Mus musculus: one gene and its partners. The protein of the gene in region 1 interacts with the protein of each later gene in a pairwise test. Links are inferred from orthologs where the notes say so. Each region holds a gene or a part of one and is shown on either strand. Other genes may lie near its edges. The genes, in order: Vasp, Abi2, Trim9 and Zyx.

Evidence for each region.
Region 2: the proteins of Vasp (region 1) and Abi2 interact in binary tests that used the Homo sapiens proteins (3 or more experiments, as listed by UniProt). The link is inferred for Mus musculus from reciprocal best matches to the Homo sapiens genes VASP and ABI2.
Region 3: the proteins of Vasp (region 1) and Trim9 interact in binary tests that used the Homo sapiens proteins (3 or more experiments, as listed by UniProt). The two-hybrid records come from large-scale screens. The link is inferred for Mus musculus from reciprocal best matches to the Homo sapiens genes VASP and TRIM9.
Region 4: the proteins of Vasp (region 1) and Zyx interact in binary tests that used the Homo sapiens proteins (3 or more experiments, as listed by UniProt). The link is inferred for Mus musculus from reciprocal best matches to the Homo sapiens genes VASP and ZYX.

The regions. Positions count from the first base shown.
Region 1 is NC_000073.6:19,259,116-19,261,895, forward strand, and holds part of Vasp (vasodilator-stimulated phosphoprotein), read right to left. Parts: intron 2,099-2,780; coding exon 2,061-2,098; intron 1,951-2,060; coding exon 1,709-1,950; intron 1,567-1,708; coding exon 1,466-1,566; intron 353-1,465; coding exon 301-352; intron 151-300; coding exon 117-150; intron 1-116. UniProt on the Homo sapiens protein: Ena/VASP proteins are actin-associated proteins involved in a range of processes dependent on cytoskeleton remodeling and cell polarity such as axon guidance, lamellipodial and filopodial dynamics, platelet activation and cell migration.
Region 2 is NC_000067.6:60,451,117-60,454,683, reverse strand, and holds part of Abi2 (abl interactor 2), read right to left. Parts: intron 1,081-3,567; coding exon 922-1,080; intron 1-921. UniProt on the Homo sapiens protein: Regulator of actin cytoskeleton dynamics underlying cell motility and adhesion. Functions as a component of the WAVE complex, which activates actin nucleating machinery Arp2/3 to drive lamellipodia formation.
Region 3 is NC_000078.6:70,246,564-70,250,130, reverse strand, and holds part of Trim9 (E3 ubiquitin-protein ligase TRIM9), read left to right. Parts: intron 1-1,703; coding exon 1,704-1,866; intron 1,867-3,567. UniProt on the Homo sapiens protein: E3 ubiquitin-protein ligase which ubiquitinates itself in cooperation with an E2 enzyme UBE2D2/UBC4 and serves as a targeting signal for proteasomal degradation.
Region 4 is NC_000072.6:42,348,454-42,352,676, forward strand, and holds the start of Zyx (zyxin), read left to right. Parts: upstream 1-1,374; 5' UTR 1,375-1,666; exon of another isoform or gene 1,667-1,803; 5' UTR 1,804-1,815; coding exon 1,816-2,023; intron 2,024-2,492; coding exon 2,493-2,695; intron 2,696-2,816; coding exon 2,817-2,909; intron 2,910-3,021; coding exon 3,022-3,516; intron 3,517-4,223. UniProt on the Homo sapiens protein: Adhesion plaque protein. Binds alpha-actinin and the CRP protein. Important for targeting TES and ENA/VASP family members to focal adhesions and for the formation of actin-rich structures.

The DNA of each region.
Region 1 (2,780 bases):
GAAAACTACAATCCCCAGTACTGTTTTCACAGATTTTCCCCTGTAGTGCTTTTAAAACAAGAACAATGTGTCCTTGGATTTATAGTTTCTATGGATAGAACAGGGCTATCACTCACCACTCTGGGCAGGGAGTCGGGCCTCTGACTCCTCCTGTTGGCGGTAAATACAAGTATCATAAACTACCCTTTCTATGCCAATATTCAGGTCCAAAGCCAGCTCAGCCCTGTAACACCTCCTCCCTGCCCTAGGGTACTAGTGTACACCATAAGGAATATAGGGCAGGAAAAGCCCCCTACTTACACTGGCTGACTCGTCTTTGGGGGGCTTCTCCCCAACCTGTGTGGCTTTTCTTCTGCAGAGGGGCAAGCAAGGACAAGCTACAGTTCACACTCTGCCACTCAACAGGACCCCTTCCCACTGCTAAATTCCAGGAGAGGTTGGAAAGTTAAAGAAGGGGCCTGCAAGATAGCTCAGCAGAGAGAGATGCTTGTACCAGCAGAACCACCTGATTTAATCCCAAAGACCTCTGTGAAGGCTGATGGAGAGAACTGAGTCCTGCAGCTTATCCTCTAACCCCCACATAAACAGACATACACAGTGAATAAATAAATGTAGCAAGACTTTTAAAAAGAGAGGCAGGCAGATCTCTGTGAGTTCAAAGCCGCCCTAGTCTACACAGCGAGTGACTGTCTCAAAAAAAAAAAAAAAAACAACATGGGACAGAATGTATTACATGGCACAAGGCTGTAATCCCAGTATGTGAGAGGCAGAGGCGGAAGAGTCATCATTCTAAGTTCCAGCCTAGCCAGGGCTGAGAACAGCAACAGCAACAATCCAGTTCAGGGCTGCTGAGATGGTTCAGTAAGGAAGGGTGCTGGCTGTTAACCCTGACAACTTGACTCCTAGTCACAGAACCCACGTGGTGGAAGGAGAGACCTCTCTTCCGGGGAGTCATGGGCACACTCATATATACGATAAATAAAAAGAAATAGCTTGAAAATTTAAGGAAAAATCCAGTCCAGAGATTGTTCCTCTAGAATCTGGAGGGGTCCCCCATAATTTCCACATCTGGAAATCTTAAGCATTCTAAGGGCGACGAGGAGTTAGTTCCTAGGTCAGCAAGCTGGGTGTCTAAGAATCTAAGCTTTCAGAGTGTAAGAATCTCTCATGGCTCAAGCACTTTACAGTCTGTGAGCCACCTCAGGGGCTGAGTCTCCAGCATCGTGTCCTGGACATGGCTGTCATCAGGCAGCACCGCCACTCATAGACACAAAGAAGCTGAGTGCAGGTGTGTCATTCCAGCGCCCAGGAGGCCGAGGCAGGTGCATCGGGAGTTCAGCCTGGGCTAGACATGAGCGGCGGGGAAAGGAAGAGAGAGGACAGGAAGGGGAGGGGCCCAGTCAGCACTACAACAGCCTAACCCTGAAAATGCAGCATATAGCTGAATTCTGGGACTCAGGCTCACCTCCGGGCCAGCATGGCGTTCATCTCTTCCATAAGCCCCCCACCAGTGCTTCGACTGTTCTCAGCTTTGGGGGCCAGGGGCCCCCCAGAGGCCTCCTCCTGCTGAAAGAATGAAAAGGGGGAGAAGGCTTCACAGGTAGGCCAGGTGACCTCCCAGCCCTCTTGTGACACCTTTGGGGGACTCTGACCACCTCCCATTGTCCCCTCAGGGCTTCATCCCAGCCACTCCCTGGTACTTCCTTACCTTGCTCACTTTCCTGAGTTTGGCTCCAGCAATGGCAGCAGCCAGGCCTGGGGCCCCGGAACCCCCACTATTGGGGCCCTGTGCTGTAGGGAGTGGGGGTGCAGGGGGTGGGGCTGCCCCTGCTCCATGACCTGCCCCAGATACCCCTGAGGAGGGCAGACCTGGGGGTGGGGGGGGACCTGGAGGAGGGGGAGGTCCTGGAGGTGGAGGAGGGCCCCCAGCTGGGGGAGCAGGTGGGCCTCCTGCAATAAACACAGAGAATGGTCCTACTGAGAGAGAAGCCTGGCTTTGTGTCCTCCCTGCCCAACCAGCTCCTCCAGGGAGGTCCCCGTGACCCAGTCACGGCCATCACCTGCATTGGAGACCCGGCGCTCCATATGCTCCGGCTGCCTGTACGGGGGAGGGGGGAGAAAGGAGGCTGCTTCAGTCCCCAAACCAAGCTAACTGGTTCATCTCTCAGGTCACCAAGGAGGCTGGTGCCTCCCCTCCATCCAAGTCTGCCTTCCGAGGGCCCAGGGAAAGAAGGATGAGAACAAGGGGCAGGAGGCATGGATGGAGCCTGGGTACGTTCTTTACAACTATGCAAGCAGATGATTCCAAAGTGGCCATGGGCTCAGAAAGGTGGAGTCCTGGTGTGGAGTAGGGGCACGGGGGGGGGGGGGGGGGGGAAGAGGGGGTGGTACCAGCATGGTTCATTCCCTCATCAGATTCTTTTTGGGGAGGGGTTAGATTTTCTTTCTCTTTTTAGACAAGGTCTCACTGTGTAGCATAGGTTAGCCTAGAACTTTGTAGACCAGATGAAGTTCTAACTTGCAGATCCACCTGCCTCTGCTTTCTGAATGCTTGGAAAGGTGCGCACCACCGTGCTGATTTGTACAACAGCACCCCTGACTAATTTCTAAGGCCAGCCTGGAATTCACTACATAGGCTGGCCTCAAACTCTTGGCAACCCTCCTGCCTCAGGCTGAGATGACAGGTTGTATGCCACTACACCCATTTTTGCAGTTTCTTGTCTCTGGGGGCTTGGTAAACAGTGTCTGAGTGCCATCTACTTCTAGACTCTTGGCCCTCT
Region 2 (3,567 bases), on another chromosome or scaffold:
GTTTAACTAACAGGTAGCAGCCACAGCATAAATTTTCTACTCCATAAATTCAATACTATGAGAGATGGAATGATTTGTCAGAGGACCTCACACAGGCTTAATTACCTCTTAGCCAAAATTAAAAATTAAACAGTACGTTAACATAATATATTCATGTAGTTGATACGTCTAAATTTTCTCTTGCATTCTCCAAGGAAGGAACAAAATACTATTATTTGTAGCATTAAATGTGCAAGGGTAGCTTTTCTATAATATATGATTCAATTCTTTATTTAATTTTTGTGAATCGATTTCTCCAAAGCCCACCACAGTATTGGATTTAATAACTATGTTAAGACAGTTTGACTGCCTAATGCAAAACACCTTTCTATACACCTACTTGTGTAATTCATAGAGCAATGATGTCTCATTAAACAAAAATACTATTCTTATATACACTCCACTTGAGTCAGGCTCTCATTCTGCAGCCTAGACTGGCTTCTCTCCTTGCCTCTGCCCCATGAATGTAGCTGGTCATCCTAGAACTCATTGTATACACTAAGCTGGCCTCAAAGTCAAAGATCCACCTGCCTCTGCCTCCCAAGTGCTGGAAAGATGTGCACCAGCATTGCCCCAATTCAGTACTAGTTTTTAAAAGCAAATTACTAGGCACACAGAAAACTATTCCAATGGAGGAAGAGCAGGATGAGCTCTTTAGCTTTACATAAAAATCATGTATTGACTTTTTAAAGTAAAAATACAGTAGTATTAAAAACTTAGTATTCATCCATCCTTCTATTCATTCAACAATAGTCTAAACTACCAAATGTGTCTAGGATAAACACCTATCATGTATGGGCTAATTATGTGTAACAAAAAGGTTTTGTTTTTTATGGTGCAATATAAAAGAGATGAAAAGAAATTGATAAAGAGAAATCTAACCTGGATTCTGGTTATAAAAAGGACCTCCATTCATCTGATTCTGAAGGCTTGTTTGTGACGTTATGGAAGGAGGACGTCTATAGGGCAACGAGCCCCCTATTGTAGGTGGTGTATGGCGAGAGGCAGGCCTGTTCATGCTGTAGAACTGAACAGGATGACCTGGAAAATGAACAGAACACAAACGCATCATTAAAGGAAACTCATCTCAAATAATGAAATTTTCTAAGTATATCATTCACTTTCTAGTAAGATTATTAAAAACCACAGTATCTATCCAAATTAATGAAAGATGACAGCTGATACTGTATTAAAGCATAAAGGTAAGAAAATTAAAATATTGCATTTGGAAAACTAACATCTAAATCAAAAGCTAACATTTTGACTTTCTTTTAATTGACTATTTTTTTAAAAGCACAATTAATTAAAATGTACAGACAGAATGTGTCCCAACACCAAGTCTCCAGTATAGCTAACTATTCTCACCCCAAGGGTCACACATCAGACAGCCTACGTATCAGATACCTATCTACATTATATTTCTCTTTTTTTCTTTTCTTTTTTGGTTTTGTGAGACAAGGTTTTCTCTGAGTTATCTTCCTTTTCTGGAACTCAGTCTGTAGACCAGGCTGGCCTCAAACTCACAGAGATCCATCTGCCTCTGCCCACCCCAATCCCCAAGTGTGGGGACTAAAGGCATGCACCACCACTGCCCAGCTACATTACAACTCATAACAGTTTTAAAATTACAGTTATGAAGTAGTAATGAAGTAATTTTACGTTTGGAGTCATGACAACTTGAGGAGCTGTATTAAAGGGTCACAGCCTTAGGAAGGCTGGGAAGCGTTGCCCTAGCACACCAGTGTTAAAAGACCACAGCTGTAAACAGTTATCAGGTCATAAGGGTTCTGTTCTCATGAGTAAGTAATACCATTATCAAAAGTGGATTTTCTCCTTTTTTATTCTATGTACAAAGTCTCTCACCAGATTAAGGAACCTTGATACTAGATATTCTGCCTCCAGAACTAATATAGTCAGACTAATATAATTTATAAATAATCTAGTCTACAGTATTGTTATAGGACACAAGAGATTAATTTCCCCCTCCTGTCCAAAAAATAATTATTTAAAGCAGCCATTAAACATTGGAGACTAAACGAAGAATTAAATTCTGGGGGAAAAAAACAAAAACAAAACAAAAAAATGTTTGATACAGCCATATTCTAAAATAGGTGGTGATAACAAAAAACACTGTTTAAAAGGAAACAAAATAGTTCAACAAAACATTTGATGCTTTAACGCCAAGTCAAACCCATCTTTATACAATTCAATATACTCATCTTCTTATAGCCAGATTGTGTCATAAAATAGTTTATGAAATCTGAATCAAAAATGATCATCACCCCAGAAACCTATCCATTTATAACTCATTTCAACCTATCTTACCTCTTCAGAGTTATACACTGCTAACATCAACCGGAAACATTCTTTCCTAATCCACCCAGTTTCCATCTATAACTCAAATCCGACCTTGCCTTTACCCTCACTTGGTGCCCACTCAGTCAGGGGCCCTCTTATATCAGGAAAAGGCCACCCATGAAAGAACACCAGCAAGCAACAGGGCATGCAAGGAAGGGAATGACAGGAAGACAGGAAGAGGAGGAGAAGCTATACCATGAGGGGAAGAGGAAAAAGGGGAAATAAAAAGGAGAAAGGGCAAAAGACAACAGGGAGAAAAGCATTGCCTAAGATCTTCAAAAAAGAAAACTATGAATTTTATAAAGTTGGATCCACTCTAAATTCTCATCAATATTAAGTCTATCAAGCACAGCCAAGTACCTATTATTATGTTATCATTTAACTGCTAAAATTAACTCTTAGTTAGGGGCCATTTATTATTTCTGGGCATTTGCAAGATTTCTCTTTTTAACTAGTTGGACTAGTGTAACAGAGTTGTATATCTCAACCAAATGACTGTCCATATTTTTACTCATCCATTACAGAAAAATCTTCATAAGGATTATTATAGAAGCTATCTAAATAGAATACCATTCAAAATCCAATTAGGACAAAGACATCTTTTAAAACATGTTTTATTAGTAGCCAGGTAGTAGTGGTACACACCTTTAATCCCAATAATTGGGAGGTAGAGGCAGGTGTGTCTCTGTAAATTTGAGGCCAGGCTGATCTACAGAATAAGTTCCAGGACAGCCAGGGCTACACAGAAAAACCCTGTCTCAAAAAAAGGATACATTTACTAACCAGCATCATATTAACAGTTAAATTTATTTTCCTATCCCAGCAAAATGTATTTGAGGTTAAAATCTTTTCTAAAATGATTGATTACATTTATTTATAAGGAGGGCACATTCATACAACAGAGAGTGTGCATGTGCGTGTGCGTGTGCGTGTGTAGATTAGAGGACAACTTATACAACCCTGGCTGTCTGGCTAGGCAGCAAGCCCTTTACCTGCTAAGCCATCTCCTTAGCACTAGGTTGAAATCTTAAATAAAACATCAGTCAACTTAAATAATCTTAAAGTCCTTTGAAGTATAATTTATGAGTTTATTATAAACATAGTTTGTAATTTGCTATATAAAATATTGCATTAAAATATATTTTTCAGGGGCTGGAGAGATGGCTCAGT
Region 3 (3,567 bases), on another chromosome or scaffold:
TAATCACCCCCCCAGGAAACATTCTCTTTGGTGGCTCTGGGGGTGGGGTGGGGGGGATCCAGTTATGTTCAGTGAGATCAAAGGAAAAGCAGGCCCAACAGGGGCAGAATAATGACCTCACTCTCTCAGCTTCTCCTGTCAGTCACCACTGATGCTTTGCTAGTCAGTAGATTCTTAGAGCTTCCCAGCCCTCGGACATCCTCTGTCCTGCTCCATTCATGTCTGTTTTATTGGCTATCCCTTGAAGTAAGCACACAAAGCATTTTATATTGATATCAAATCCAAGTGGCTACAGATAGCAGGTCTCTTCAGCAGTTCACACTGGGGGTACTCTGTGACTAGCTACCTGATAGCATCACCCGTGCACTTGTGATCAGCCTCTTGATTCTGGAGCGCAGGGGTAAATAGGATCACCCCCATCGCGGCGATGCAGAGACGCACATTTCAGAAGCCGAACACATCTTGCATGCTAACTGAATGTCGCTTGTGCTGTCGCTGACAGGCTTGTAAATAGCAAGATTGCCTGTGGTGGTGTCCAGTCTGTCTTCTGCATGCAGAAGAAAGGAGTGATGTTTATAAATGTCTGTGCTCTGCTGAGATAGGATTCAGTTTTGCTAGCTTTCACACTGATGAGAGAAGACAGATCTGGCTATCTGTCCCTGATGGTGCTCTGCAGTCAACAGCTGCATCAAAAGACATAGTTCTTTGTAAGGTGGTGTTTATACTCGGATCTCTGGAAACCACTGAACTCCCTATAGTATAATTATGTCTCAGGAAGGTATCCCCTTCAATGCTGTCATTTTACAGAGAGAATCTAATGTCTTCATTCAAAGTCATTGTGCTGAAAGATTAGCATCTTTCCAGAGTGAGTTCCACTACTCCATGGAAAGCAGAAGGCTCTGAGTCCAGTACCTATCATATGTCCTGGGTTCGACCTAAGTACTTCTTTATTGTGACTTTCTGATTAAGTCATTTTGTAATAAATGCTGTTAGAGTCACACTGTACATGCTAAGTGCAGAGCAGAGCTGATGCCCTGTGGTAGCCAAAAGGCTGTTTGGGCTCAGTCTTGGTATTGTCTTCTGCTGTAGCTCAGTAGCAGAAAGTCCATTTATAACAATTCTCTCTCAGCAAGGCACAGTAAACAAGAGACTGTCATGAGAGGTGGCCGTCTCTGCAGGGGGTGGGAATTTGGGGGAGCAAAAAAAAATCTAAATCATATTTTATTATGTAAAGCACAGATACACAAAATATAAGTAGTATATAGTGTATCTAAGGCTTTAAGTTTTTATGTGAAAAGTGTTGCTTAGGGCAAAAAAAATGTGTTTTTTTAAAAAAAGCTAACCAACGGAGGGATGTAAAGAATCAAAATTCTGGTTTGACTGGGCCTGGTGGGACAGGCCTATAGTACCATCTTCTTGGGGGGTTGAAGCAGGAAGACTACAAGTTTAAGGTTTGCCTGAGTTATCATGGAGTTCAAGGCCAGCCTGGACAATTTGGTAAGATGCTGTCTCAAAATAAAAAGTAAAAAAGAGGGCTGGGGTAAAAGCCAGCGGCAAACTCACCTACTATACATGGGGCCAAGTTCAACCCTCAGAACCAAAGAAAAGCAAAGGAAGAATGCAGACTGGTCCAGCAAGCCACAAGGGAGAGATGTAAGATGAAAGCAAGCCGACGACATTCCACTTTTTCCCTTTTCCCACAGAACTGAAGGAGGGATCACAAAAGGGGCCACCATCGGGGTCCTCCTCGACTTAAACAGAAAGACATTAACGTTTTTCGTCAACAATGAACAGCAAGGCCCCATAGCGTTTGAGAACGTGGAGGGCCTGTTCTTCCCTGCTGTCAGCCTGAACAGGAATGTGCAGGTAAGCTTGTGGGCCCCAGGACTAAGGGCTTGCTCAGGTTGCTACTTCAAAGTCTGCCCAGGGGCAGTAAAATCCCCCCAAGCCCCAGCTCCGTGAGGGAAGCTGGTATAAGACCCAGAGTGAGACACACCAAAGACACCTTCCCATGTGCCTGCCACAGCCCAGTCAGCCACCCACGGGAGACAGACGCCTTCTCTACCCTGTCTATTTATCCTTTGCTCTAGTTTCTTCTTTAAGTAGACCTGAATGACTTCAACAGACTGGCTGCTGAGATGGCTCCTACCAGGCCCCAGGAATGCCCAGGAAAAGCAAATCTTAGGCACTTATCAGAAGTGTGAGCTGCTTTTTGTCCTTCACTCTTCATTGTGCAACAGGGCTGGGAAGCAGTAGCCCCGCCTGCGAGTTAGATACTTGCAGTTTCCCATAGAGACAGAACAAGGGGTCCTTCTCGCCCCTTTATTCAACAGCCATCTGCAGGGCTCTTTGAGCATGCCAGGCTCTACTGTAAATATTTGCTATCCATCAGCGGGAGAAAAAAAAAAAAAAACAGATACAAACCTTACCTTCCTGAAACTTATATTCTGGTTACAGATCATAACCATGTGATTTCTAAGGTACGTTAGAGGGTCAGAGTATGGCAAAGGGATCAGCAATACTGGGAACATGCTAAATAAACAGCCACAGGCTTAAGCGGGGTGGTCAATCAGCTGGTCTTATTATAGTTGCTGCTTATCTGAGTCCTGAAGGAGGGAAGGTAGCAAGCTGTGTAGAGATTTCAAAACAGAAGGCATAGCATGAGGAGCTTTGGGTGGGCAGAGAATGGTAAAGAGGGGATTCATAGCATGCAAGGAATGTGGGTGATGCCCTGCCAACCACTGTTAGAATTCAGGGCTTCACTGCCATCCTGATTTGGGCTTCTCATTGCCCGATATAAACCTCACTAACCTTAAAATAGGACCTGAGAGTCAAACGCTGTAGGGTTCATGCCCTAGCTACAGCCACAGTCTTAAAAGCTCTTTTAAGTTGTTTCCTGTTTATGAGTAGGGGTAGTGAAACTGCTTACAGCCCAGCGGGACCTGATTTCCAGCTTCCTGCAAGGAGATGGGATTATCTGAGGAGCTGGAATCTAATTCTTCAGAGGTCAGCCTGTACACCAGGAGATAGAAAACCTTAAATTTTTATAGGAGTCAATCTAAGAAAAACCTCGTTCAAAGTTTTTCACCTTTTCAGCCATTTCCCTTCCAAAGACTATCATGCTGGCCATGCTTCGGGATTTTCAAGGGTGTTCTAGTGCCTTTAGACAAAGACTCTTGATGGGGGTGATACAGATAAGAAGGTAGAAATGGCCATATTTATGATATGCTTCTAGTGTTTCCCATAACTCTCCACATAGTTTGAGGTAGAGTAGAAATTGTTGAAATAGCCTAAGTGCCTATATTCCTTCCCACTATAAAGCCTTTCCCGAAATCACAGATAGATAGGTTGGAACTCACAGACAAGCTAATCTGATCTCTGTCCACGGACTTGACCGTGACCTGCAGATGAGCACCTTGACCTCAGCCATAAGAAACGTACCCTCCCCCCAACCTTTTTTTAAAAGTGGGTATTGTGTATCCTGGGTTTGGAAGGCCACTATGATGGCCAGGCTTTTAGCACAGCTAGTATCCTGCTAGAAGACCCTTCAATGTCTTCTAGGATAGA
Region 4 (4,223 bases), on another chromosome or scaffold:
TGCCTAGGTTAACTGGCTGGAAATTTCCGTTGTTTTCCAGGCTGGAACTTGGAAGTAATACTGAGAACTATATAGAATTTTCAGGCATGGCATGTTATTTATCTCTTCACATAAAGCAGCAGGCAAACGAACTAAATGCCATCCCTTTTACAATGGAGGCAATGAAACCGAATGAATGAAAAATCTTGTCCACTGAGTTGGAAACCAGGCTCCCTGACCTCACGGAGTTTCTCCATCTTTGCCAACAGGGTTAATTAACTCTGACCTGAGTGCAACCCTTGGGGCCGTCTTTTCAGGTAACATCCCCCAGTTTCTTATCCTAGGTTCATGGGGTTAGTTTGCATGCCCCTAAAGCATAGCTCAAGGACATATACTGACCAACCATACTGGACAGTAGGGTGCAGCAGATGGGGAGCGCCAAGGTTTGGAGCCTCAGCCAGGGATGACAGGGCGAAACCAAAGGAAGCACCGAGGGTTGGATATTGGACTAGAGGCTCTAGCTCGTAACTCTATAATTTGGACGAAGTTTCCGTGTGTTGTTTAAAAAAAAAAAAAGAAGAAGAAGAAGAAGATCGGAAGGGAAAGATGCAAGATTAAGAAAGTAAGAAAAGCAGACACCAGCTTAGTCATATCTCTTTCATGTAGCCTGGGGCAGTCTCAGGCTGAGGAATCTGGTAGGACCAGTGGGGGGCTCCACCGAGCTTTGTCCCGGGGCGCGCTGACAACCCAAAGACTCTTGAGGGACTGGGAAAGGCTTGCTGAAGGGATCCTCAAGGACTAGTCCCCGGGGGCTATTTGGGTCTTCCTAGGTTGTCTGACCACTCGCCCTGACTTCGCCCTTGTACCTCCATTCCTGGACTCAAAGCACTGGACTCTTGTCCCCGGGGCAATACTATTGCAGGCGGGTCTAGGGCAAAGCGAATTCCTAGAAGCCTTAAGAGGCTGCCTAGCTCAGGAAGTTAGCATTCCCCCAGCTTAGGCTCCTGCTCACACACTAGTGGGTTACAGAAGGCCGGCCTGGGAGCCAAGTGCCCGCAGGGCCAACGTCCCTTCACCATCCCCCGCCCACCCAGGAGTACAGTTCCATCCCAGTCCTGCGTTCCGGGACTGACCACAGGACACGTGGGACGCGGAGCTGAAGCTGCAGGGAGGGGCGGGGTCGGTCAATGGCAGGCAGGCCCGGGGTGCGCGACTGAGCTGCTTCAGGACCGCTGGGATTACTAGCCAGCCTGCTCAGCCTGGAGTGCGGACAGTGAGTCAGTTCTCCAGCACTCGCGGGTCGGGAGGAGGGAGGTGGGGTAGGTGGCAGGTCAGGAAATGACATCAGAGGCCTGTGCTGGGGAAGGGTGGTCTGTGCCCGGCGGGGGCGGTGGTGAGTAGGGAGGCCGCAGGCGGACCTTTGCAGAGCCTGGAGCCCGGGGCAGGACCTGGGCCCCTTCCTGGGGGAGTTTCCTGTCGGGTCCTCCCTCCCCGGTCTCTCCCCGCCCCCTCTCCGGGCCGCTCCTTGTATGGTCTGGGCGCCGCTCTCTCCCCGCCCCCTCCCTCCCTTCCCGTGCACGACGTCCCTCCCCGCTTGGCTAGAAGCGGCTCCGGACCGGGACGCAGAGTCCGCGGACTCGGCGCCGAGGCGGTCATCCGAGACGCGCCTCTCACGCTCCTGCGCGCGGTGAGGAGCGGGGAGAAGCTCCGCCGCCCCGGGAAGGGGACGCGGGGAGGCGCGGGTGGGGTCACCGAGGGGCGCTTAGACCGAGGAGTGTCAGTCCGACACCGCTCTGCGTAACCTGACGACCCCACCCCCTGCAGCCCGGCCTGGCCATGGCGGCCCCCCGCCCGCCTCCCGCGATCTCCGTCTCCGTCTCGGCCCCCGCGTTTTACGCCCCGCAGAAGAAGTTCGCCCCGGTTGTGGCCCCAAAGCCCAAAGTGAATCCTTTCCGGCCTGGGGACAGCGAGCCTCCTGTAGCAGCCGGGGCCCAAAGAGCGCAGATGGGTCGGGTGGGCGAGATCCCACCACCACCCCCGGAAGGTATGCGGCTGGGATTGGGGGCCCTGATCTTTCTCGGGCGCCAGGGGTGGGGGTCGGTGGTTTGGGGAATTTGGGGTTGTCTGAAAAGGCTGTTGCGGAGGGGGCTGGGCGCTGGGTGGCTACCCTGTCCTGAGCAGATGTTCTTACCTCATCTTGGAGCTCCTGGCTGGGAGCCAGGACCCTTGGGACTGTTCCAAGTCTCCCGCCTGGGGGTAGGAGGCGGGAATGTGGGCCAGGAATCTTCCCCTCTGGATCCGTTCTCTGAAGTGTAACGGGAGCTGCACGGTTCTTCAACCTGGCTCGTTCTCACTCGACCTGCTTCGCCCAGGGCATCCTGAGCCCCTCGTTATGGTCTGCACACACTCTTGGGATGCAGGAAAGAGTTCTTGGATTAGGGGTTAAAGCAGTCGTCTGAGGAGAGGAGGAAAGAGGGTCGGTACTGATAGCCTTTTCTCTCCTTCCTACCCAGACTTTCCTTTGCCCCCTCCTCCCCTTATTGGGGAGGGCGACGACTCAGAGGGTGCCCTGGGAGGTGCCTTCCCACCTCCACCTCCCCCGATGATCGAGGAACCATTCCCCCCTGCTCCTCTGGAGGAGGACATCTTCCCCTCCCCTCCACCTCCACTGGAGGAGGAGGGAGGGCCTGAGGCCCCTACCCAGCTCCCACCGCAGGTAGGGAGGGCTTGGAAGGGCAGCTTTGCTGGAGATGGGGTGGGGGACACCTCCATGGGCTGGAGAGGAGTGGGGTGACAAGGGAAGACTGGGATGGGTGCTCTGACCCTTGACCCTCCAGCCCAGGGAGAAAGTGTGCAGTATTGACCTGGAGATTGACTCTCTGTCCTCACTGCTGGACGACATGACCAAGAACGATCCCTTCAAAGCCCGGGTAAGGGGCAGGACAGTAGGAAAGTCTGGGCCTAGAAGGAGAGGAGGGAATGCAAGGAAGAGATGACAACCTCGTCTAAGTGCATTTCTCTCCCCTCTGCTTCTCCTTGCAGGTATCATCCGGATATGTACCCCCACCAGTTGCCACTCCATTTGTTCCCAAGCCTAGTACCAAACCTGCCCCTGGGGGCACAGCACCCTTGCCTCCTTGGAAGACCCCTTCTAGCTCCCAGCCACCACCTCAGCCGCAGGCCAAGCCTCAGGTCCAGCTCCATGTCCAGCCTCAGGCCAAGCCCCATGTCCAACCCCAGCCTGTGTCTTCTGCTAATACACAGCCCCGGGGTCCCCTTTCTCAGGCACCAACTCCAGCACCTAAGTTTGCTCCAGTGGCTCCTAAATTTACTCCCGTGGTTTCCAAGTTCAGCCCTGGTGCTCCAAGTGGACCTGGGCCACAGCCCAATCAAAAAATGGTGCCTCCGGATGCTCCTTCTTCTGTGAGCACAGGCTCCCCTCAGCCCCCTAGCTTCACCTATGCTCAGCAGAAGGAGAAGCCCCTAGTTCAAGAGAAGCAGCACCCACAGCCTCCACCAGCTCAAAACCAAAACCAGGTGAGGAGGCCACAGGCTGAGGCCAATGGACTGCAGAGTAAAAGGGCAAGAGGGTGGGGTAGAGAACCGGAGGAGCCAGAGTGGGTGTGGCGGTGGGGGAAGTGTAGGGTTATCTGGCAGGCCATAGAGAAAGTTCTGGAGGAAGTCTGGGGCTACCTGGGGCCTGGGTCAATCGGTAGAGCAGCTAGGGCTTAGCAGTAAGAGGATACAACTTTCCCTTCTGCCTCTGCCTTGGAGTGTTGAAGGGGAGAATGAGGTCACTAGCCCAACCTTAGTTTTTCCCATTCCTGGGCCTTGACTTAATCCCTAGGCTCCTGGGTTTTCTGAGCACTTTCATCGCCTGAGGGCCCATCTAGAGATTAAAGTATTGTCAGCACCAGTAAACATTTACTGGGCCAGCCTCAGCTGACTGCCAGGCACTGCTCTGTGCTATGGAGGCTGGGCCCGTGGGCACGAGAGACCTCTCCAACAGGTTCAGTCTTCTGAAGTCACAGGTCTAGGGTAGAATGTCTAGCCTGTTTCTCACAAGTCTTTAGACCCTAGTAACATTGGGTGAACTTTGAGCCTTCCCCCCCTCCCCACCTGACTTTGAAATAGCTACCCATCCCAAACAATGGTGAAGAGCAAGTCAGCTTATCTTCTTAGTCTAGCACATAAAAGCTCAAAATAGAAACAGACAGTACAGTTGTTGCCAGTTGTTAGTTCAG